Anolis sagrei: one gene and its partners. The protein of the gene in region 1 purifies or fractionates together with the protein of each later gene. This does not show direct contact. Links are inferred from orthologs where the notes say so. Each region holds a gene or a part of one and is shown in the gene's direction. Other genes may lie near its edges.

Evidence for each region.
Region 2: the proteins of POLR2D (region 1) and RPAP2 purify together in Homo sapiens (affinity purification with mass spectrometry; 5 studies listed by BioGRID and IntAct, counting the BioPlex papers as one, with this or other methods). This does not show direct contact. The link is inferred for Anolis sagrei from reciprocal best matches to the Homo sapiens genes POLR2D and RPAP2.
Region 3: the proteins of POLR2D (region 1) and RNGTT purify together in Homo sapiens (affinity purification with mass spectrometry; 3 studies listed by BioGRID and IntAct, with this or other methods). This does not show direct contact. The link is inferred for Anolis sagrei from reciprocal best matches to the Homo sapiens genes POLR2D and RNGTT.

What each region holds. Positions count from the first base shown.
Region 1 is NC_090023.1:220,841,971-220,849,282, forward strand, and holds the start of POLR2D (DNA-directed RNA polymerase II subunit RPB4), read left to right. Parts: upstream 1-4,296; 5' UTR 4,297-4,338; coding exon 4,339-4,411; intron 4,412-6,776; coding exon 6,777-6,957; intron 6,958-7,312. UniProt on the Homo sapiens protein: Core component of RNA polymerase II (Pol II), a DNA-dependent RNA polymerase which synthesizes mRNA precursors and many functional non-coding RNAs using the four ribonucleoside triphosphates as substrates.
Region 2 is NC_090024.1:150,132,310-150,139,328, reverse strand, and holds the start of RPAP2 (putative RNA polymerase II subunit B1 CTD phosphatase RPAP2), read left to right. Parts: upstream 1-4,010; 5' UTR 4,011-4,045; coding exon 4,046-4,103; intron 4,104-4,448; coding exon 4,449-4,494; intron 4,495-4,966; coding exon 4,967-5,081; intron 5,082-6,057; coding exon 6,058-6,156; intron 6,157-7,019.
Region 3 is NC_090021.1:105,173,953-105,181,825, forward strand, and holds the start of RNGTT (mRNA-capping enzyme), read left to right. Parts: upstream 1-4,829; 5' UTR 4,830-4,941; coding exon 4,942-5,005; intron 5,006-7,873.

The sequences.
Region 1 (7,312 bases):
TTCCACTTCTATTGCCATGGCTCTATTGCATGAAATCCCGGGATTTGTAGTTTGGTAAAGTGTTCCAGACAGAGTTCTCAGTGTTGTAGTTCAGGGGAGGACTAGAGCTCTCTAGTAGAGAATTGTGAGTCCCTTATCAAACTGCATATCCCAGAATCCTACCGGATGGAACCATGGCAGTTAAAGTAATATCAAAGTGCTATAACTGTGCAGTATTAATACTTTATTCTGGAAGCCTAATCAGTTGTAATTTTCACCTGATTAGTTTGATCGTCTAAGGACCTTAGCAATAGCCTTCTGGTCTGACTGGGAATTGGCTCATCCTTAGCTACAAGCAAGTGCCTTTTGGTCTAAGATGGAGTCATTTCAAAACACTCATTGTTGTGAATTTTCCTTGCTGCCGCCATGTATCTTTTAAGCTATTTTTAAAATTCCTCACCTCATCTCCATATTACAGCAGAGAATGTCATTGATCGGTGAAGGTTCAGTGTTTTGAATATTTCCTTTCTGAAGTTTTACTTTCTCATAATGAACAGCTAACTTTAACAGAGATCGTTCAGACAGAAAGATGTTATGGCCTGACTATATCTGATTATTTTGTGGACAAAGTACAGTAGTGTGTGATCCCCCCCCCCCATTTTTGCACATAACTTATTTTTCCTGATTCATTCTCACCATTGCAGTCTTCACTGACAAAATGCCATTTCCTGCTTATTTTCCAACGCCAACATCATTAACATTTTGATTAGTTTATTTTTTCTTTGAAAGCAAGGAACTTCTTATCCACCAGTGCAGAGATATCAGACCATTCTTTGTTATTACACTTGGTTGCCTCCTAGCTATATAACCTCTGAGTGTAAATCATTGAACTTTACCCTCTAATGAAGTATTGTAGAAAATAAATTGTAATGGATACAATTTTTATCTTGTCCCTTTTTTATTGGTGTCCGTTCTTTGTCAATATTTACTTTTCACGCCGAAATCCATTATGAATTCCACAATAAATGTTGTAAGGGTTTTTTAAAATAAATAAAATAAATAAATGAGTGAAACAGAAGTCTAAAGTGAGGATTGTGGAAGAATCGGCATGAAGCGGGTGGGAATCCTTCACAAAATTTCTCATTACAAAACATACCTCAAAGGTAATGAGACTAAATCTTGTTAAAAATAAAAGCAAGAACCTTCATATTTGTGTGTGTCTGGTATTATTTTTCCTGACCCATTAGAATACCGGTCATAGGCACTGGACTCAATCAAGATTACCATCTAAGTGACAACCTATTAGGTCCATTGTATTTTTCATACCAGAAATACTTAATCCCATCACAAGTCATTTCTTCACCCATTGTTCTGGGATGTGCCAACCCCTCTCTAACCATTGGACAGAGGGAAATCTGCATCAGAGGCAGCCAGTGCTCTCTTATTGGCTGAGATGTGCCAAATTCCTGCCTCTGCACGGAGTCCCTGCTGACATCTTGCCGACTCAGCCAATCACGGAGAAGCCGGGTCCAGCTGGGGGTGGTGGGAACTTTGAATGCAAAAATGCATTTTTATGGTACTATGTATCTCAGCTTATTTTTGGCAGATTACCGCATGCTGGCATTACTTCAGTTGACTAATAAAAAGTTTGGTGGCTTTTCCCCAACTTGAAGAGCTTAATTTAGTCAGATTAGGCCTCCTCTCGGGGCAGCCAGGCTCTTTGCCAATCACTGCTTAAAGGACTTGGCTCCCGGTCCCAGATTCCGGCTCTCCGCAGCTCAGATTTCACTATCTGCAGCTGCATCAAATTGCTCCATTTCAATCCCAAATTTTGTGTTTATCCCAGATTATCTGGCATAATCCAGTTTAATGCAGAAAACTGGTATACAATTCTGGGAGATAGGGTGCCTGCCTGGAAGGGTCCTCAGTTCAAAGCAGATATTGTAGGTTATCTGCCTTCATATTCTGGGTTATATAGCTGTGTGGATGGGCCCTGAGTCTCATTTTCAGAGAGATAAAGGATACAAATAATAGCAACAACTTTTATGCAGTGACTCAAGGTGATGGAATCAAGGAAGCTGCAGTTCAATAAGGTCTGCTCCATGGAGTGCTGGTGCCTCAGCAAACTACAAATCCCACAATTCCATAGCTTTTGAGCCATGAAACTCGGGGCCCTTCCAGACAGGCTCTATATCCCAGGATCTGATCCCTGGTTTTGTGTATCACAGATTATATATCAGTGGGGATTCATATAATTCAGTTTAAACCTGGAATAAAGGGCCTGTCTGGAAAGGTCCTAAAAGTGGTGTCAAACTGCATTGTTGTAGATATACCCTTCATCAAACTGTGCTATACCAAAAGTATTAGTACTTACTTACTTACTTATTTACTTACTTAGGCGATCCCTCGTTGGACGAGTAAGATGGTCTTCCTTGATTACTATTTTTGTGGGTTTGTAGGTGGCTGTGGAGCCCTATTCTTGACCCGCATCTTCTCCCACAGTGAAGGCATTGGTTTCCAGGTGGAAGGCGGTCCCGGTCGGGGTTGGCTTGACGCGCCTTCCTCCTGGCACGTTTCTTTCTTTCACCCTCCACTCGTGCCTCCTCGAATTCTGCAGCACTGTATTAGTAGACTCCCTTCTGTTAAGTCAGTGGTTCCTAATGTCACGACCCCTTAATGCAGTTCCTCATGTTGTGACCTTCAACCATAACATTATTTTCATTACTACTTCATAACTGTAATTTTGCTACTTTTATGAATTGTAATGTGAATATCTGATATGCAAGTTGTATTTTCATTAACAGGACCAAATTTGGCACAAATACCCAATACGCCCAAATATCAATACTAGTGGGGTTGGGGGGGGGGGTTGATTTTGTCATTTGGGAGTTGTAGTTGCTGGGATTTATAGTTCACCTACAATCAAAGAGCATTCTGAACTCCACCAACAATGGAATTGAACTAAACTTGGCACGCAGAACTCCCATGACCAACAGAAAATACTGGAAGGGTTTGGTGGGCATTGACCTTGAGTTTTGGAGTTTTAGTTCACCTACATCCAGAGAGCACTGTGGACTCAAACAATTATGGATCTGGACTAAACTTCGCAGGGATATTCAGTATGCCCAGATGTGAACACTGGTGGGCTTGTGGAAATTTATTTTTTAAATTGGAAGTTGTAATTGCTGGGATTGATAGTTCATCTACAATCAAAGAGCATGCTGAACTCCGCCAACAATGGAATTGAACCAAACTTGATACACGGCACCCCCTCGACCAATAGAAAATACTGGAAGGGTTTGGGGGGCATTGACCTTGAGTTTTGGAGTTGTAGTTCACATACATCCAGAGAGCACTGTGGACTCAAACAATGATGGATCTGGACCAAACTTGACAGAAATACTCTATATACCCAAATGTGAGCACTGGTGGATTGGGGAAAATAGACCTTGACATTTGGGAGTTGTAGTTGCTGGGATTGACAGTTCATGTACAATCAAAGAGCGTTTTGAACCCCACCAACAATGGAATTGGGCCAAACTTCTCACACAGAACTCCCATGACCAACAGAAAATACTGGAAGAGTTTGGTGGGCACTTACCTTGCAATTCACATACATCCAGAGAGCACTGTGGATCTGGACCAAACTTGGCATGAATATTCAATATGCCCAAATGTGAGCACTGGTGGAGTTTGAGGGAAATAGACCTTGACATTTGGGAGCTGTAATTGCTGGGATTTATAGTTCGCCTCTAATCAAAGAACATTCTGAACCCCACCGACAGAATTGAGGCAAACTTCCCACACAGAACTCCCACGACCAACAGAAAATGCTGGAAGAGTTTAGTGACCGTTGACCTTGAGTTTTAGAGTTGTAGTTCTGCTACATCCAGAGAGCACTGTGGACTCAAACAATGATGGATCTGGACCAAACTTGGCACAAATACTCAATATGCCCAAATGTGTGTACTGGTGGAGTTTGTGGGGAAATAGACATTTGGGAGTTGTAGTTGCTGGGATTTATAGTTCGCCTCCAATCAAAGAGCACTCTGAACCCCACCAATGATAGAATGGGGGCAAACTTCCCACACAGAATCCCCATGACCAACAGAAAATTTGCTGATGTCTTTGGAGACCCCTCTGACATCCCTCATGACTCCCTAGGGGTCCCGATCCCTAGGTTGAAAAACGCTGTGTCGGGGCACCCTGGACATTGAAACAAGGCACTGGGATTCATGCCACATGATGGTGACGGAAGAGCGCGTGTCCTCTCCCGCCCTCAAGGGGGCGCCCGCAGCAGAGGCTCGACTTCCCTTCTCTTCCCTTTTCTTGAGTTTCCGGGCTGTGGAAAGGCACTCAATGGCGGCCGGAGGGTCGGACGTGCGGGCCGTGGACGTGGAGGAAGACGCCTCCCAGCTGGTCTTCCCCAAAGGTGAGCGACTGGCTCCGAGGGAAGGGAAACGCCGTGGGCTTGGGAGGACATGGAAGTTGCTCCAGAGGAGGCAGACCTACGGGATCCTTTCAAAACAACACATGCAGTGTGCATCCAGGCAGTAGAATGAATGCAGTTTGGCCCCACTTGAACTGCCATGGCTCAGTCCTGTGGGAGGTGTAGTTTTTTCAAGGTCTTTAGGCTTCGCTGCGCAAGAGTGTTAGCACCACGTCAAACTACAGCTCCCAGGATGCCATAACACTCAGCTATGGCACTTAAATGGTGACAAAGTGCAGTGTAGATCAGGCATGGGCAAACTTGGGCCCTCCAGGTCTTTTGGACTTCAATTCCCATAATTCCTAACAGCCGTGAACTACCTGAAGATGTAGCTGATGTGATCGGGATAACAGTTTTATTAGCCACAGCCAATAGTCATATTACAATCTGTATAAATAAAAATATAACGTTTGTTTGTGGGATTAACATAACTCAAAACCCATAATAATAATAATAATAATAATAATAATAATAAACTTTATTTAACATCCCGCCACCATCTCCCCAATGGGGACTCGGGATGGCTTACATGAGGCCAAGCCCAACAGCATATTATAATAAAGTAAACAATAACAACCCAGTAAAATACATACAACATATGAATACAAAAACGATAAAACAAAATAATTTGTTTTAAATAACATAACAATGAGCGGGCCGCATGTGCAAGATAAAACTGACTTGGCCACAGTGGTCCACGCTTTGGTTACATCCAGTTTAGATTACTGCAACGTGGGGTTGCCTATGAAGACTGCCCGGAAGCTCCAACTAGTCCAACATGCGGCAGCCAGAATGCTAACACGAGCAGGGTACAGGGAGCATACTACTCTTCTGTTGCGCCAGCTCCACTGGCTGCCAATTAGCTTCCAAGCACAATTCAAAGTGCTGGTGTTAACCTATAAAGCCCTAAACGTCTCCGGCCCAGTTTACCTGTCCGAATGTATTCTCACCTATGAACCATCTAGGTTGTTAAGATCGTCTGGAGGCCACCACCGAGAAGGACCTGTCCCTCGTCCTGCTCTCGGTCCCACCGGCCTCTCAGGCGCGTCTGGTGGGGACGAGGGACAGGTCCGTCTCGGTGGTGGCCCCTCGACTCTGGAACTCTATCCCACTGGAGATCAGAACTGCCCCCTCCATTCTGTCATTCAGAAAATGGGTGAAAACCTGGCTATGGGGTTTGGCTTTCGACGAGTAAATCAATATTTCTGTGATCGGATAGATGATGATGAATGATGGACAACGAATTCACTATGACGACTGACCATTGTTATTATGTGATTGCATTTTGCTGTTATAACGTTTTAATTGAATATGTTATATGATGTTTTTAATTATTGTTTTGTGATTTTATTGTTGGAAACCGGCTCGAGTCCCCTGATAGAGGGGAGAAGACCGGTATACAAAATTGCTAAATAAATAAATAAACTAGATACCAAAAATACTAAAATCAGGATGAGATAGAGATGGAGCAGATTGTTTGTGGGGAAGAAACTCGTAAGGAACGGGGTCATAAATATAGACCTTCATACAGGTGGGGAAATATACTCTGGGGACAAAAACCGCTGAGGGGGAGCAACTGTGTAATACCCAGTGGACAATTGGACACAATACACCTATCAGGGCAACAAGTGACCATCACTCATAAAAATACTGGAAAACACAGCAGAACAGACTTAAAAAGCAAAAAAAAATTTAAAAAAATACATTACAATGGATGTGCACTTATATACACATAAACACAAATATATATACACACAAAGCACATATACACAGACTGGGCCACAGCAGTGCGTGGCAGGGGATGGCTAGTCTTTATCAATTAAAATGTAGTGTTCATTTGTAAGATTAACATAACTCAAAAACCACTGGGCAAATTGAGACCAAATTTGGACACAATACACCTATCAGGCCAACGAGTGACCATCACCCATAAAAACACTGGAAAACACAGCAGAAAAGACTTAAAAAGCAAAAAAAACAGCAACATTGCAACGCATGCGTGAAACCACATATATACACATATACACATACATACATACACAAAACACATATTCACAGACTGGGCCACAGCAACGTGTGGCAGAGGATGGCTAGTTTGTTTATATATTTTATATTCTGTGCATATTCTGGATATTTCTCTTTAGTATTTTTCATAGGATCAGTCATATTATTGTTTTTCTCATTTTTGTTAATAACCTTAAGTACTACCACCTATTCCTGCTTCACACACAGACCAATCCTAAAATAGCACCCATAAAGCTGTCTTTTTCTGTTTCTTTTGATCCGTTCCACCCATCTTTACCTACAGAGTTTGAGACTGCTGAAACCCTTCTCAATTCAGAAGTGCACATGCTTCTTGAACATCGAAAGCAGCAGAATGAGAGTGCAGAAGATGAGCAGGAGCTCTCTGAAGTCTTCATGAAAACGCTGAACTACACCGCTCGCTTCAGCCGCTTCAAAAACCGGGAGACGATTGCTAGCGTTCGCAGGTATGTAATCCTGAGAATAAAATCTTTTGTCATTAGCCAACGTGACAACTAATGTAGAACATCATAATAATACTGACCAGTAGTGCCTCTGTTTTGTCTAGATTTACCTTTAGCTTATTAGCCCTCGCCGAGTCAATTACTGAAGACAGGCACAAGTTTAGGGGCAGGACGGCACCCTAGGCTTTCGCTGGAAATGAGTAATACAATTGGGTGTCATCAGCGTAAATTTGACATCAAACTCCAAAACTCCAGATGATCTCTCCCAGCAGCTTCCCTAATAGTTTCCTTAATCTGAACAAAGGAAGTAGAGTACGTTATTGTGCGCAGTTAAATTTATTTTGATTCCCCGAATAAA
Region 2 (7,019 bases), on another chromosome or scaffold:
TGTGAAGAATTTCCTAGAATAGGGATTAGATCGTTTTAATAACAGATTATATTATCTGTGCCAAAACCTTTAGGTACCAAAAGGGAACTGCAAAAATCCTAAATGACAAAATATTATTGAATTATAATACAACAGAAAGTGGGACTCAACAAGATACTCTAAACGTGTTGCATTGCCATTTACCAGAATGTTTTAAAGGGCAACCCTAGTTTAATGAGAATTAAAAAGGACACCTTCTGATTAAGTATAGTTAAGAGCTTTACAGCTGGCCATTAAGCATATTATAGGAAGCAGTTCTGCTGAGGGGCAATAAAGTGCTCTGAAATACTCTGACTTTTAAAAGCCAGGATGTATACATAAACTTTCTATTAATTTATTTTTTTAATATTTTTTTTATTTTAGGACATACACAACATTTACAATTCCCACCACCATGAAGATTGTTTTCTTTTACATATTAATCCTTTTGGAGATTTTTTATTTTCTTATTCTCATCCCATTCAAGAAAGAAGTAAAGTTACAGCCAAGTAAGAGCAGGCAAAGAGGAAGCGAAGCAAAGAGCACATTGTAGTATTTGGAAGCTATCTGCTTTGTGGGGCCAGAAAAAGTCTCTAGCAAGTGGTCTTTAACGTGCAAAACAGGGGAAAGGGAGTTGAACAGGACATTAAAGGAATCTGGCAGCACCTGTAAGATACATTTCTAGTTTATAACTTTCTTTTTTGTGTAGACATTGACCCACAAAAACGGATGCTAAAATAAAAACTAATCTTAAAAAGTGTGGCTAGATTTCCCCCAACCCTTTCCCTCGCTTTTCTTCTTGTTATGCTACAACAGGCTAACATAACCCCTTCTTTAAAAATTATTTTAATTGTCAATTAACAATATCATACGAAAACTGACTGGCACAAGCTGGGGATCACAACCAGACACAGTGAAGACATCTCCCCTTGCGCTATGCTACTCTGCTGCTGAGTATGCATGCCCAGTGTGGAACACATCTCACCACACTAAAACAGTGGATGTGGCTCTTAATGAGACATGCCGCATTATCACAGGGTGTCTGCGCCCTACACCACTGGAAAAATTACACTGTCTAGCCGGTATCGCACCACCTGACATCCGCCGGGAAGTAGCAACCAATAGTGAAAGGACCAATCCTTTGTTTGGGTATCAGTCAGCATGTCAACGACTTAAATCAAGAAATAGTTTTCTAAGATCTACAGAGACACTCGCTGGAACATCTCAGCAAGTGAGAGTCCAAAAGTGGCAGGCTCCAACCCAGAACCTCAATCAATGGCAGATACCAAATGAGAGACTCCCCCCTGGGCACACAGAAAACTGGGCAACATGGAAAGCATTGAACAGACTGCGCTCTGGCACCACGAGATTCAGAGCCAACCTTAAGAAATGGGGCTACAAAGTGGAATCCACGGCATGCGAGTGTGGAGAAGAGCAAACCACTGACCACCTGCTGCAATGCAACCTGAGCCCCGCCACAAGCACAATGGAGGACCTCCTTGCGGTAACACCAGAGGCACTCCAAATGGCCAGATACTGGTCAAAGGACATTTAATCAACTACCAAGCTTGCAAACTTTCTGTTTTGTCTGCTTGTTTTGTTAAAAATGTAATACAAATGTCTGGTTGCTCCTGACACAATAAATAACATTTTAATTGTTTCCTTAAAGGAAGACCATTTATGTAGCTAGAAGGAGATTGAAAAAGTGTTCAAATCTACCAGAGACCATACAACATTGGTCCTCAACCTGTGGGTCCTCAGGTGTTTTGGCGTACAACTCCCAGAAATCCCAGTTTACCAGCTGTTAGGAGGCAAAAACATCTGGGACCCACAGGTTGAGAACCACTGCCATACAACATAGATAAAAAGTACTCTGCACATGCTCAAGGGCAATTACTCTTTAACTATAAAAAGTATACACCCTTAACCGCTTATAACAGAGGGGGAGGGTGCATTAAAATGTGTACAGTCCCCAAGTTACAAACAAGATAGGTTCTGCAGGTTTGTTCTTAAGTTGAATTTGTATGTAAGTCAGAACAGGTACATTTTATTAAGTGCAACTCCAGAGATATATATATCTATCTACCTATCTTTGGTTAGCATAGGGAAAGGTTGACACGCCCATGGTGTTTCTTTTGCTGTCTGTTCCCCTGTTCAGAAGATTTCACAGCACTTTCTGTCCCTGTGAGAATTGGATTGTGAAAAATATGACTTGTTGTGGAAACAAGGACTGGTGATAAAGCTTCAGGGGAGACACGTTTTCCCCATGCTAACTCTTCCAGGAGTGAATTTCCCTTCCTAGGAGTAGATTTCTCTCACTTCCTGTTGTCTCACCCCCATTCTTAACTAGGAGTCGTCTATAAGTCAGATGTTTGTAACTCGGGGACTGCCAGTACATCCTTAACAAGATCAAAGATTCCAATGTGGTGCACAATTAGTAGTGAAACCTCAAATGAAATGTGCAACTCTATGCTTTGACCATGGGGTCATTGCATGGCTGCGCTCGCACATGAATTTGAACTCCTTCTATGGTTTCAGCATTGGAGTATGACTCTGAGACCGGGGTTCGTATTCCCACTCAGCCATAGAAACCCTCTGGGTAACCTTGGGCAAGTCATGCTCTCTCAGCCTCAGAAGACCAAGGCAAATAACTTCTGAACAAACCTTCCTGTACAAACCCAGTGAATGGTTCTCCATAGGTCTGAAACGAATTGGGAGGCACACAAGGAACAAGTAAACGTACTCTAAAATGGAATCTATAACTTTAGCTAATTAGTATAACATTTCATCTTCAATATAAACATATATATTTAACATCCAAATAATCTCCATAAAGGTAAAGGTTTCCGTTATAGTCTATAATCTCCATAGCTATTATTAGCTGTTAAAAGTGTGTACATTGGGGGGGGGGGGGGACTATACATCCCAGGTGCTTCTACACTATATAATTAATGCAGTTTGATACCTCTGTAACTGCCCTGGCTCAATGCTATGGAAACCTGGGAGTTGTAGTTTCACAAGGCCTTTAGCCTTCCCTGCAAAAATGAATCCTATGAGTTGTAGTTTCGCAAAGCCTTTGGCCTTCCCTGCTAAATGAATCCTGGGAGTTATAGTTTCACAAGGCCTTTAGCCTTCCCTGCCAAAGGAATCCTATGAGTTATAGTTTCACAAGGCCTTTGGCCTTCCCTGCTAAATGAATCCTATGAGTTATAGTTTCACAAGGCCTTTAGCCTTCCCTGTCAAAGGAATCCTGGGAGTTATAGTTGCACAAGGCCTTTGGTATTCCCTGCTAAATGAATCCTGGGAGTTATAGTTTCACAAGGCCTTTAGCCTTCCCTGCCAAAGGAATCCTAGGAGTTATAGTTGCACAAGGCCTTTGGCTTTCCCTGCTAAATGAATCCTGGGAGTTATAGTTTCACAAGGCCTTTGGCCGTCCCTGCCAAATGAATCCTAGGAATTGTAGTTTCACAAGGCCTTTAGACTTCCCTGTCAAAGGAATCATAGGAGTTGTAGTTTCACAAGGCCTTTAGCATTCCCTGCCAAAGAAATCCTGGGAATTGTAGTTTCACAAGGCCTTAGGCCTTTCCTGTCAATGGAATCCTGAGAGTTGTAGTTTCACAGGGTCTTTATTTTTCCCTCCAAACTACAACTCCCAGGCTCCCATAGCATTTCAGAGAAGGGAGACTCCCCTTGCACCAGCCTTGGAAGTGAAAGAAGGCTGCAACTCCTTTCCAGGCTTCACTTGGGAGCCTCTCTGAACCCTAGAAACGAAAGACAAAGAGTGAATCCCTCCTAAACTACTATGCCTTAGACCTGGGCTGTCCCTCCTCCCTGGCGCCCTCCCGCCTGTGACCCCAACCTGCAGCAAGACTCCCTCCTCTTACCTCCGCCTTCCCTCTTTCCAAAGAGACCGGTCTACCAGCACGGCCTCATGACTATTCTCAGGCCACGCCCCTTTGGGAGAAGCCACGCCCCTTTCCCAAACAACGCAGGCGCAGTGAGGGGTTAGAGGTCTTTCCCGGCAGCGATGGCGGAAGAGAGGACCCGCAGCGGCTCCAAGGCCAGGAGGCAGCGCCGGCGCCCGGGTAAACGCAGCTGTTTGTATCTATCCCCCCCCCTTTTCATCACATGGACTGTTCCTTCTCCCTTCCTCAATATGTGGAGGCGAAACCAATCCTATCTTCCAAGGGGGTGGCTTTCTAGGGATGGGAGATGCTCTATAGCTGTGATTATTCCTATACTACTGTAGGAATAATATAGTTGAACTGCCAGGGCTCAGTGCTATGGAATCGTGGGAGTTGTAGTTTTATAAGGGCAAGTTTCTCCCTAAGCAAACAGCGGGTTCCCACTCTGTTCCTACAAAAGCTTGAATTGATCATGTGATTTCATGTGGTTTGTCATCTCCCTGTATTTTTGGTTGTTCCTCTTAGGTAATAAACAGCCCAGTGTCCTGACAAATGAAGATGCTGCACAAAGGTATCCTGTCTCTCAGAATAACTGTTTGGTTGCATTATGTGTTTATATCTATTTTGTAAATCCTTCAAAAGGTTTATGAATCAACTAGCTGTCCCCTGCCACACATTGCTGTGGCCAAATCTGTGTATTTGTGTTTTGTGTGTGTGTATTTGGGTATCTATATATATGTGTGTGTGGTTTTGCGCATGCATTGTAATGTATTTCTTTTTATTTGAGGGCTTTTAGATGTTTCTCATGACTTTCTGATATTCCCTTCTCTTTGAGACACATATTCTGCCCTGTTTAACCTATTAAAGACTGGCAGGTCTTTAGTCCAGCTGGCACAGTTTGAAATGAAAAGTGGGTGCCATTGTGTTCTTTGCTTCAGGCATCAAATGTTTTGCGCTGGATCTGTTCGTACCCACTTGTTTCTTAAGCAACTTCATATGAATTGCCAAAATGTGGGTCACACCACTATTTTTTCCCCTTGTAGGAAAGCAGCACTTGAAGCTGCTATTCGAAAGAAGATTGCGCATGAGCGAAAAGCCTTGAAGGTGGTTGAACGCCTCTTAGAAGACGATATCACTGAAGAATTCCTCACAAATTGTGTATGTCGTCTTGTTGCAGATTTATATAAAATATTTAGTTTAAATGTGTCAAGGTCTCCTATAGCTTGTTATGCAGTTAATGGTTCCTTTCCAAAGATAGTTTATCAATCTTTGGAGAGGCACCATAGATGTGTGTTAGCTTGGCAGTCTATGGCCCCTTCTACACTGCCATATAAAATCCAGATTATCTGATTTGAACTGGATTATCTGGCAGTGTAGATTCATGTAATCCAGTTCAAAGCAGATAATGTGAATTATCTGGGAATCATATAACCCTCTCAATCACTGCTTCTTAAACTGGGGTCTCCAAACTAGGTCCCCATAGCTCAATGTGGGGGTCCTGAAAAAATTGGCAAATGTAAACATTTTCTGAATGTCACCTAGTTGCTGTTTTAGACATGTACATGAATCTGTTGTGCAGCATTTACAGCAGACTCTGCAAAAGGAAATGTTTGATTTTTATACCAGTTTTATCTACCCAGGGCTGTGTAAAACTGTATTGGGCCAAAAGGTGTCACAAGTGGAAAAGTTTAAGAAGTCCTCTTCTCAATGACCTTGGGCTGCTGTTGTCAGCATTTCCCACTATTGTCTAGGCTGGTTCGTGCTTCTAAAAGTTTAATTCACAGCATTTGGAGGACTGCAAGGTTTCCCATTTCCTATAGGACATATTCCAAAGGGAGACTCAGCGTGAGGTAGAGGCTTGAGCATTGACTAAAACAACTGTAGTCCAAGGTTTGTAAATTAGAGATGTGTGAAACAGGAGAAATCTGTTCTGTTTTTGTTTCCAATTTTGAGTCCGTCCACCCATTCTGTTTTCATGAAGATTCTTCCCAAAACAGAAATTGAACTTGTTTTGTCGAACCCAAATGACTCCCCTCCTAATCTTCCTTTCTACTGTTTTACACACCGCTTCTTTGTATCCCTGCTCATCCATGAAAACCCACATTTCAAGGCAAATCTGTTTATTTCTTTTCAGGGGAAGTTCATTACACCTTCTCACTATAAAGATGTTGTGGAAGAGCGGTTTATCGTCAAACTGTGTGGCTACCCCATCTGTCGAAATAGGCTGCAGAATGTAAGAGTCTGTGAGTGGTGTATGTGTTGGTTCTTTTTCTGTAATTTTTTGAAATTTAAAATGCATTTCTTCCTGAAAATTATCCAGTACTTGCTTTTTTCGCCCATTTTCATTATCTTCCTGTGTTACAAATTCAAAACTGATTTAAAATGTCTACAGGGTTGCTTTGTGAGTAAGGATGTGAGCCTGGATATCCGCAGTTTTGAATCTGATAGTATATGCCAGTGGTTCTCAACCTGTGGGTCCTCAGATGTTTTGGCCTACAACTCCCAGTAATCCCAGCCAGTTTACCAGCTGTTAGGATTTCTGGAAGTTGAAAGCCAAAACATCTGGGAACCCACAGGTTGAGAACCACTGGTATATACTATATTGGCCCCCGGCATGGGTTAAAACTATGTAGTGTTCTTGCCACCTCTTTGTCCTGCCTCTGCTTTCATCCAATGTGATCAAGGAGAGGAAATCAAGCTCTGCATAATTTAGTTCTCTCTCTAACCTGGAAAAATTGTGTTAAATCTTAACTGTGGTTTACTGAAATTAGCAAACATCAGATTTAGGATTAAGAAGATAGTTTCAACAAATCATTGCTCAGATTAAACATTGTAGGTTTTGTGCACTATGGCAAACTTTAGAAAATGAGATTAAGCTTTCCTTTCTCCTTGCAGCCAAGCTAGGAGGAGAGGGAGAGTTTGGCACCAAAGAAGCCAATATTCTGGCACATAATAATTAACAGTAATATATTGTTACAGGCATACTGGTCCATCGGCTCTCATCGTACATAATAACACACTGTAATGTTTTGCTACATGTTTGCTGGTCCATTGGCTCTCCTTATCCATAATAATACACTGTAATGTATTGTTTCT
Region 3 (7,873 bases), on another chromosome or scaffold:
GGGGTTCTCTCTGTCAAATCAATACAGTTGGAGAGATTGTCATAATGGTTATGTAATCTAGCCAAAGATTCTTAGCTCTGGGTTAGAAAAAAAGCTGGCTAAAAAGAGCAATTCTCCACACGGGCTTCTAAAAGTGGGTTCAAGCCTCTTCTTCTTCTGCCTACAATTTGCAGTTGACTTAGTTCAGTTTTGAGGCTCTTGGTGAATTCATGCAGTGTGAAAGTTATGCCGATTGCACCGATCTTGTCTTTTTACATTTTCAGTTCATATGAGCCTAAACAAAAATGAGGCACAGTGAGTAACCATTCCTGTGGACACCAGAGGTTTTTCTGTGATACAGGATTCAACAGTGTAATTTGTTTCAACTAGTCATCCCTCCACATTTGCTAGGGTTAGAGGCACAGAACCCCCACAAAAGTGGAAATACGGCAAATAAAAAGGAATCTATCTTAAAAGGAATCCATAGGTCCTCTAGACTTGTGGTGGAGGTTGGCCATCAAGTTACACTGGAAGGCCTAGAGGGACCATATCAATAAAATTTATGAATAATCTATAATAGCAAAACCTGCTAATTTGTAGGGCCGACTGTGCTGTCATTTGTTTTGTGCCATGTTGTTTGTAACTGCCATAAGTGCCTGCTTGTTTTATCCTCCCACTCATCACATGCGGTGTCTTTAGCAAAGGACTGCCTCCTCTTCATGTTCCTTCCACCACGTGCCGGCCACGTTTCCCAGTCCATGTGTGTCAGTATGTGAATCTTTCCAAACCAATTCTTTTTTTCCAATTTATCCCTCCCAAGTGATCCACCGCATCTGGTCTGAATTACCATAATTCCTGATCTTTGGTTGAGGCATGCAAATTGTAAATTTAATATCTTGAAGATCGGCAACTATCAAACCAATTACCATAACATAATTTGCATGCCATATGGATTTGCCCATTGAAAGAATATGCCAAGGCAGATTCAGAGAATGCCAAGGTGACTGATACTGACCGAGGGAAGAGGAATTCCTACTTGTCTAGAGCACTGTACTTTATGTTATGATGGAGATATGTGGATGCATCTCCCAGCTCTTCCTTTTAAATCCTCCCAGCTCTTTCTTTTAGCTAAGTGATCCCAACTCAGGACTGTAATGCAAGGTGGGAGGGAGTTAAGTTTCATTCTCAGTGAAATTTGCCCAGGCTTGCACATTACATTCATCTGGCTCTCTGTAGAAGACATGCCGGCATGGAAAACATTAGCATCAGAGTCATTTGAGCTTTATTCGCCCCCCCCCCCCACTTTATAGAACTCTACTATGATCTGTTTATGTCTCATATATTATGTTTTTTACAAATATATGGATACACATACACATACACACACACACACACACACACACTGTTTGTCACTTTGTAGGTCAATAGGATGGAAGAGCAGTATATACATATAGGAATAAATCATACATATAGGAAAATACATACATATAAGGGCCAGAGGTTTAGCACAGCTGGTAAATCACCAGCAACTATAAGATCTGTCAACCGAAAGGTTGCAAGTTCAAAGCCTTGGATCGGCATGAGCTGCCGACTGTCAGCCCTGCTCACTGTTTACCTAAGCAGCCGAAAACAGCTTTAGCTGTGATTAGAGAAATTACCGCTAAAAGTGGGAAAGGTGTTTTACGACAGCATAAAGAAAGAAGATCAGAAAATGCTGGTTGACCAAAAGGAAGGAGGAAGTTCTCACAGTTCTTCATCACAGAGGATGGAGTGACATCACCCCCCAGAGGCTGGACTCACCTTCCACGGCACCTACAGCTGGACACCGAGTCGAAACAACACACACCTCCTTTTGTTCTGTCTGTCTGTGTATTGTCTATACAGAGTGGCATTGAATGTTTGCCGTGTATGTGTATTGTGATCTGCTCCGAGTCCCCTTTGGGTGAGAACGGCAGAATATAAATAAAGTATTATTATTGAAATGGCAGGGAAAAGGTTCCAAGGAAAGGAGAGGCAAAGAGAGTCCCAGAGGTCTGAAAAGCACGGATTTATTACCAGCTGGGACCCTGGTGAGGAGTTCTCTCCTAAAGCACCAGAGCAAATGATAGAGGCATTGACTGTGCCTTTTATAGTCTCCAATCGGAGTCAAACAAAGAAACATGCTACTACATACATTAACGTAATTCCTACGTCATCTTAGCATCAAGTTCTAACCTCCAACATGCAAAAAGGCATGTCTGTGTATTTCTAGGAGCAGCCTGCATCCATCAGTCAAGAGGCCCACTTTGAGTTGTCAGGAGGGAGGGGGGATTGGCTCCTTCCTTAGAGCCTAGTTGTACCCGCTAGGATGGGCTTATCTCCTGGAATGTAGAGATAACCTGCCCCCCTTCTCCTCCCTCCTGCCATGCCTTGGACACAGATCTCCTTCAGCATTCTTTCTACACACAGAGAGAACTAGATTTTTCTATATTTCAGTGTTTGTAAAGTACTTACAATGTTATGCATAAATCAATAAATATCTATTTTCCAATATCTCCTCATTATTATTATTATTATTATTATTATTATTATTATTATTATTTTCCAGTGGGCTCCCATGGCTGTTTCCTCCGAAGTAAGTGCCATTGGGTTTTATGGAACACTCACCTAGGTAGGGACTAAAGCATTATTTTAACATGACCCGATTAAGAGAATGAATGCAAAAGTATAGAAACAAGCAAATGCTACTGAAAGTAGCAACTGTAATATGCATCTAGAGCAGACATGGGCAAACTTCGGCCCTCCAGATGTTTTGGACTCCAACTCCCACAATTTCTAACAGCCTCAGACCCTTTCCTTTTTCCTCTCAGCCGCTTAAGTGGAAAGGAAAGAAAGGAAGGGGGCTGAGGCTGTTAGGAATTGTGGGAGTTAAAGTCCAAAACACCTGGTGGGCAGAAGTTTGCCCATGTCTGAGCTAGACATCCACGCCTCCTTATTCACAGAGGCAACGCTGTACTGTAACTCCAAGTTCCTACTGGTTTGATATTGAATCTACTCAGCTGACTGACAATGGTTTACTGCCTATTTGAGCAATTGCCTTTCAGCATGATCTGAAGAAGCCAAAATTAGATGGCACCAGAAACATTGCAGCACATTGTTATAGCTGCAATCGCCTCCAGCGGAAGCTTTGTGTATTCTTGTGAGTGGAGTTATGGCTCCATCTACTGTTCTGAAACCGACATGTAAATATTTTAAAAGTCACTAAGAGGAATAATTCTTCCAATTTACTGAGGAGCATAAGGTCACTATAAAAGTGGGAAAATGCATTTTAAAAAGGTAATTTTAAAAAATTGCTTTTAGAATCTCTAGGTTCTCCAATGTGACTATGAACAACTTCTGCTGGCCACAGAATCATGCTGGAGGACCTGCAAATCCCTAGAGATGTATTCTTTCGAAACATCTCTAAACCAGAGCTGTCCAAATTGTGTGTTGTGCAGGCCCGTAGCCAGGATTTCGATTCGGGGGGGGGGGGGGGTTGAGTTTTTTTCAGGGGGTGTGCCAAGGAGTGTTGGAGTCTCACCAAGCTACAAATCCCAAGATCCTATAGCATTGAGCCATGGCAGTCAAGGTGGCATCAAAGTGCATTATATCTATTATGTTGCTGTTTATTCGTTCAGTTGCTTCTGACTCTTCATGATCTCATGGACCAGCCCACGCCAGAGCTCTCTGTTGGCGGATCTTGCCCTTGGTCTAGTGTAGAAGGGCCTTAAGTCGCATCAGCTAACTTCTGTGAACCATAACCAGAAACCAGAACGGCCTCCTCCCTGCAGGCTTTTAAAGACGAAGGCGTTTAAGACCATCAAGGGCTGCTGTGCTTTTGCGATGTGATTTTATATGCTTTTAAGGTTTTAACGTGGATTGTTTTAATATCAACGTTTAATACTGTTTGTATATGGTTTGCTGACAGAAATTATATTACCTTAACTCATTGGAGAGCCACGTATTCACATTTGTATACTTTTATATATCTATACAGATTTTATCAGATTATTGTATTATCTATGAGGTTTATCAACTACATGTTTTATCCTAGGCTGTTTTATTGGCATATTTTAAACTGTTCATTTCTAACTGTTTGTTTGTTTTTGCTTTATTTCTATTTTGTCAAAGACCACACCTGGAATATTGTGTCCACTTCTGGGCACCACAATTGAAGAGAGGTATTGACAAGCTGGAATGTGTCCTAAGGAGGGCGACTAAAATGATCAAGGGTCTGAAGAACAAGCCCTATAAGGAGCGGCTTAAAGAGCTGGGCATGTTTAGCCTGCAGAAGAGAAGGCTGAGGGGAGACATGATGAGGGCCATATATAAATATGTGAGAGGAAGTCATAGGGAGGAGGGAGCAAGCTTGTTTTCTGCTGCCCTGGAGTCTAGGACACAATGGAACAATGGCTTCAAACTACAAGAAAGAAGATTCCATCTGAACCTGAGGAAGAACTTCTTGACTGTGAGAGCCGTTCAGCAGTGGAACTCTCTGCCCCAGAGTGTGGTGGAGGCTCCTTCTTTGGAAGCTTTTAAACAGAGGCTGGATGGCCATCTGTCAGGGGTGATTTGAATGCAACATTCCTGCTTCTTGGCAGGGGGTTGGACTGGATGGCCCACGAGGTCTCTTCCAACTCTTTGATTCTATGATTCTATGAAAGCCTTCGACAATACACCTTTAAGTGGCCCAATGACATGTCCAGAATGATCAGCTTTGTGCTCTGACTCGTGGAAGGCCCTCTAACCATAGAGTGTACGAGAACCCGCCTCCCTTCCGTTGCCAGAGCGGTCGAAGCCGGCAGCATTCCGGAAGCGGAACCGGTGGCGCTCTGCCCCCGGTGCATTGTGGTCCGGCGGCGTTGCTGGGCTTGACGGCAAGCGCTGGGAAGTGTTGCTGCCAGGGGAGAGGAAGCGGCGACGGCGTCCTCTTCCTCCTCCGCCATGTCCTTCAACAAGATCCCCCCGCGGTGGCTGAACTGCCCCAGGAGGGGGCAACTCGTGGCCGGTGAGCGGACGCCTCGCACCCGCCTCCCCCAAGGCGGCATCTTTCCTCACTGGGCAAGGCTGCCATGGCTCCTTGCTGTGGGGTCGTGGAGTTGTCATCCGACGGGGCACCAGGTGGCAGAGAAGGCGGAAGAGCCCGGGAAAATGCCTCTCTCACACTTCCATAGCATTGAAGTGTTTTGGACTTAACTCCCATCATTCCTAACAGTCTCAGGCCCCTTCCTTTTGCCCCTCAGGCGCTTAAGCGGCTGAGGGGCAAAAGGAAGGGGCCTGAGACTGTTAGGAATGATGGGAGTTGAAGTTCAAGACACTTGGAGGGGCCAACGTTTGCCCAAGTCTGGCCCGGCCCGGGTAACTTCCTCTCACACTTCCATAGCCCTGGCAGCGGATGCTCCCACACTGAGTGATGTTCCAAAGGGACACAGCAGAGTCTTTGCGTTGCACCTGATGAAGTGATCTTCCCTCCACAAAAGTACAGGCTACTTTTGGTCCAACCTCCAGGTGTTTTGGACTTCAACTCCCACCATTCCTAACAGCCTCAGACCCCATCGTTTTCCTTTCCTAAGGAAAAAGGAAAGGGTCTGAGGAATTTGTGGGAGTTAGAGGCCAAAACACCTGAGGGCTGAAGTTGTCCATGCCTGTTGTAGAGCATCTCACTTGCATTTCTCAGATCCCAGCACACTGAGCCATGGCAGTTCAAGTGATGGCAAACTACATGAATTCTCCAGTCTCCATCAGGCATGGCAAACTTCAGCTCTCGGGGTGTTTTGGACTTCAACTCCCACCATTCCTAACAGCCTCAGGCCCCTCCCTTTTCCCCCTCAGCCGCTTAAGCAGAATCGAAGTCCGAAACGCTTGGAGGGGCCAAAGTTTGCCCAGGCCCAGCTTTGTAGGTTTCTCTCCATTTTCCATTGCTTTCGGACTGACTTTCTGACCAAACCACAGGAAGCCACCAGACACAATAATATTATCACCAAGTGGATTCTTATCAGATATGCCTGCCCAGTTAAAGGAATAGTGACCATATACAGGCAGTCCTCGGGTTATGAGTTGTTCTTCAGTTGAATTTGTAGGAGCCCCCGATGGTGCAGTGGGTTAAACCCTTGTGCCGGCAGGATTGAAGACCGACAAGTCGCAGGTTTGAAACTGGGGAAAGCGCGGATAAGCTCCCTTTTGTCAGCTCCAGCTCCCCATGCGGGGACATGAGAGAAGCCTCCCACAAGTATGATAAAACACATACACACACACAAATCCAGGCGTCCCTGCAGATAGCCAGTTCTCTCACACCAGAAGCAACTTGCAGTTTCTCAAGTCGCTCCTGACATGAATTTTTTAAAAAAAGTTGAATATACCTCTGAGGATGCTTGCCATAGATGCAGGCGAAACGTCAGGAGAAAATGCCTCTAGACAATGGCCATATAGCCTGAAAAAAACCTACAACAACCCAAAATTTGATTTTGTATGTAAGTTGGAATAGATACATTTTAAAGTATAACTCCTGCTATACACACACACACAAACATATATGTATGTGTGTATATATATATATATATACACACACACAAAAGCTATGGATAGCATTGTGAAAGTTTAACATCCCTGGATTGCTGTAAGTTTTTCGGGTTGTATGGCCATGTTCCAGAAGCATTCACTCCTCAGGATACTCTCTCCTCAGGAGGAGAGAATGCTTCTGGAATACATCCCGAAAAACTTATAGCAACTCAGTGATTCTGGCCATGAAGGTCACAACATCTGAGACCCACAGGTTGAGGACCACTTCTGTAAGGCAATCTGTTCCAGTGCTGAACCTCTCTTACAATAAAAAAGGGCTCCTAATGTTCAGATGGAATTTCCTTTCTTGTAATTTGAATCCATTGGTTTATGTTGTAGTCTCTGGAGCAGCAAATAATAAGATGGTTCCATCTTCTACATGACACCCCTTCAGATATTTAAAGCCAACTCTCATGTCTCTAATCCACCAAGGATTGGTGTCCTATATACATATCTCAGTATCTCTGTTTTGTCTTCTCTAAACTAAACATATCCAGTTCCCTGACTTGTTCTTCTTAAGACTTGGTTTCTTATGTTTGATCATATTGGCCTCTGTTCCTGTTTATCAATATCCTTTTTGAACTGTGGTCAACTGGATAAAGAATATTGTGAGGTCATTGATAAAAAAGATTATCTGATTGTAAAAACAATTAAGCAGCCACAATAGAGATACACAATTGAAGTTTTTGCAGTATTGTTTAATTATGTGTATGGTCCTTGATCACAAATGAGCAAACTTTTTTCTGATTTGGCAGGACTTTAATATGTTGAGTGTCAAATTTAGAAATTGCCAAGTTATGTAATACTTTGCCTAGATGCCAGTTGATGTTGCCAGAAAAAAACGGTACAAAGCACTACCTTTCACAGCTGTCTCTGAGTACTTAGAGCAGATCAGATCTAGGAGATCTTTTATTTAAGGAAGACTGTGATTTTATCCAAAATATGAAGTCAGAAGGACACGGGATAGATTTCCTTTGGTCTCCTGTTTACATATCCCTGCTTTCTCTGGGCTGATTGCTGGTTACTGTCTTTTTGAAAGGAATAATTTTATTGGTTTGCTGATTTCTCTAGACTCTTACTGATTTCAATAGCTACCATCCTAGTCTTCACTGGGCAACATAAGAACAAGTCACATGGGATCCAGTATTGATCTGATCTGATCTGCTCAGCTTCATCCCTGTTGGATTATATTGATTTCAGAACACACCTGATGGCATAAGCTGCATTTTGTACTACTGTATTCCCTTATTTAGCAATTTAAAGTACAGGCTTCTATGAAATCTAGCAAACTTCTCTGTACTTCTCTGAATATTTTAAT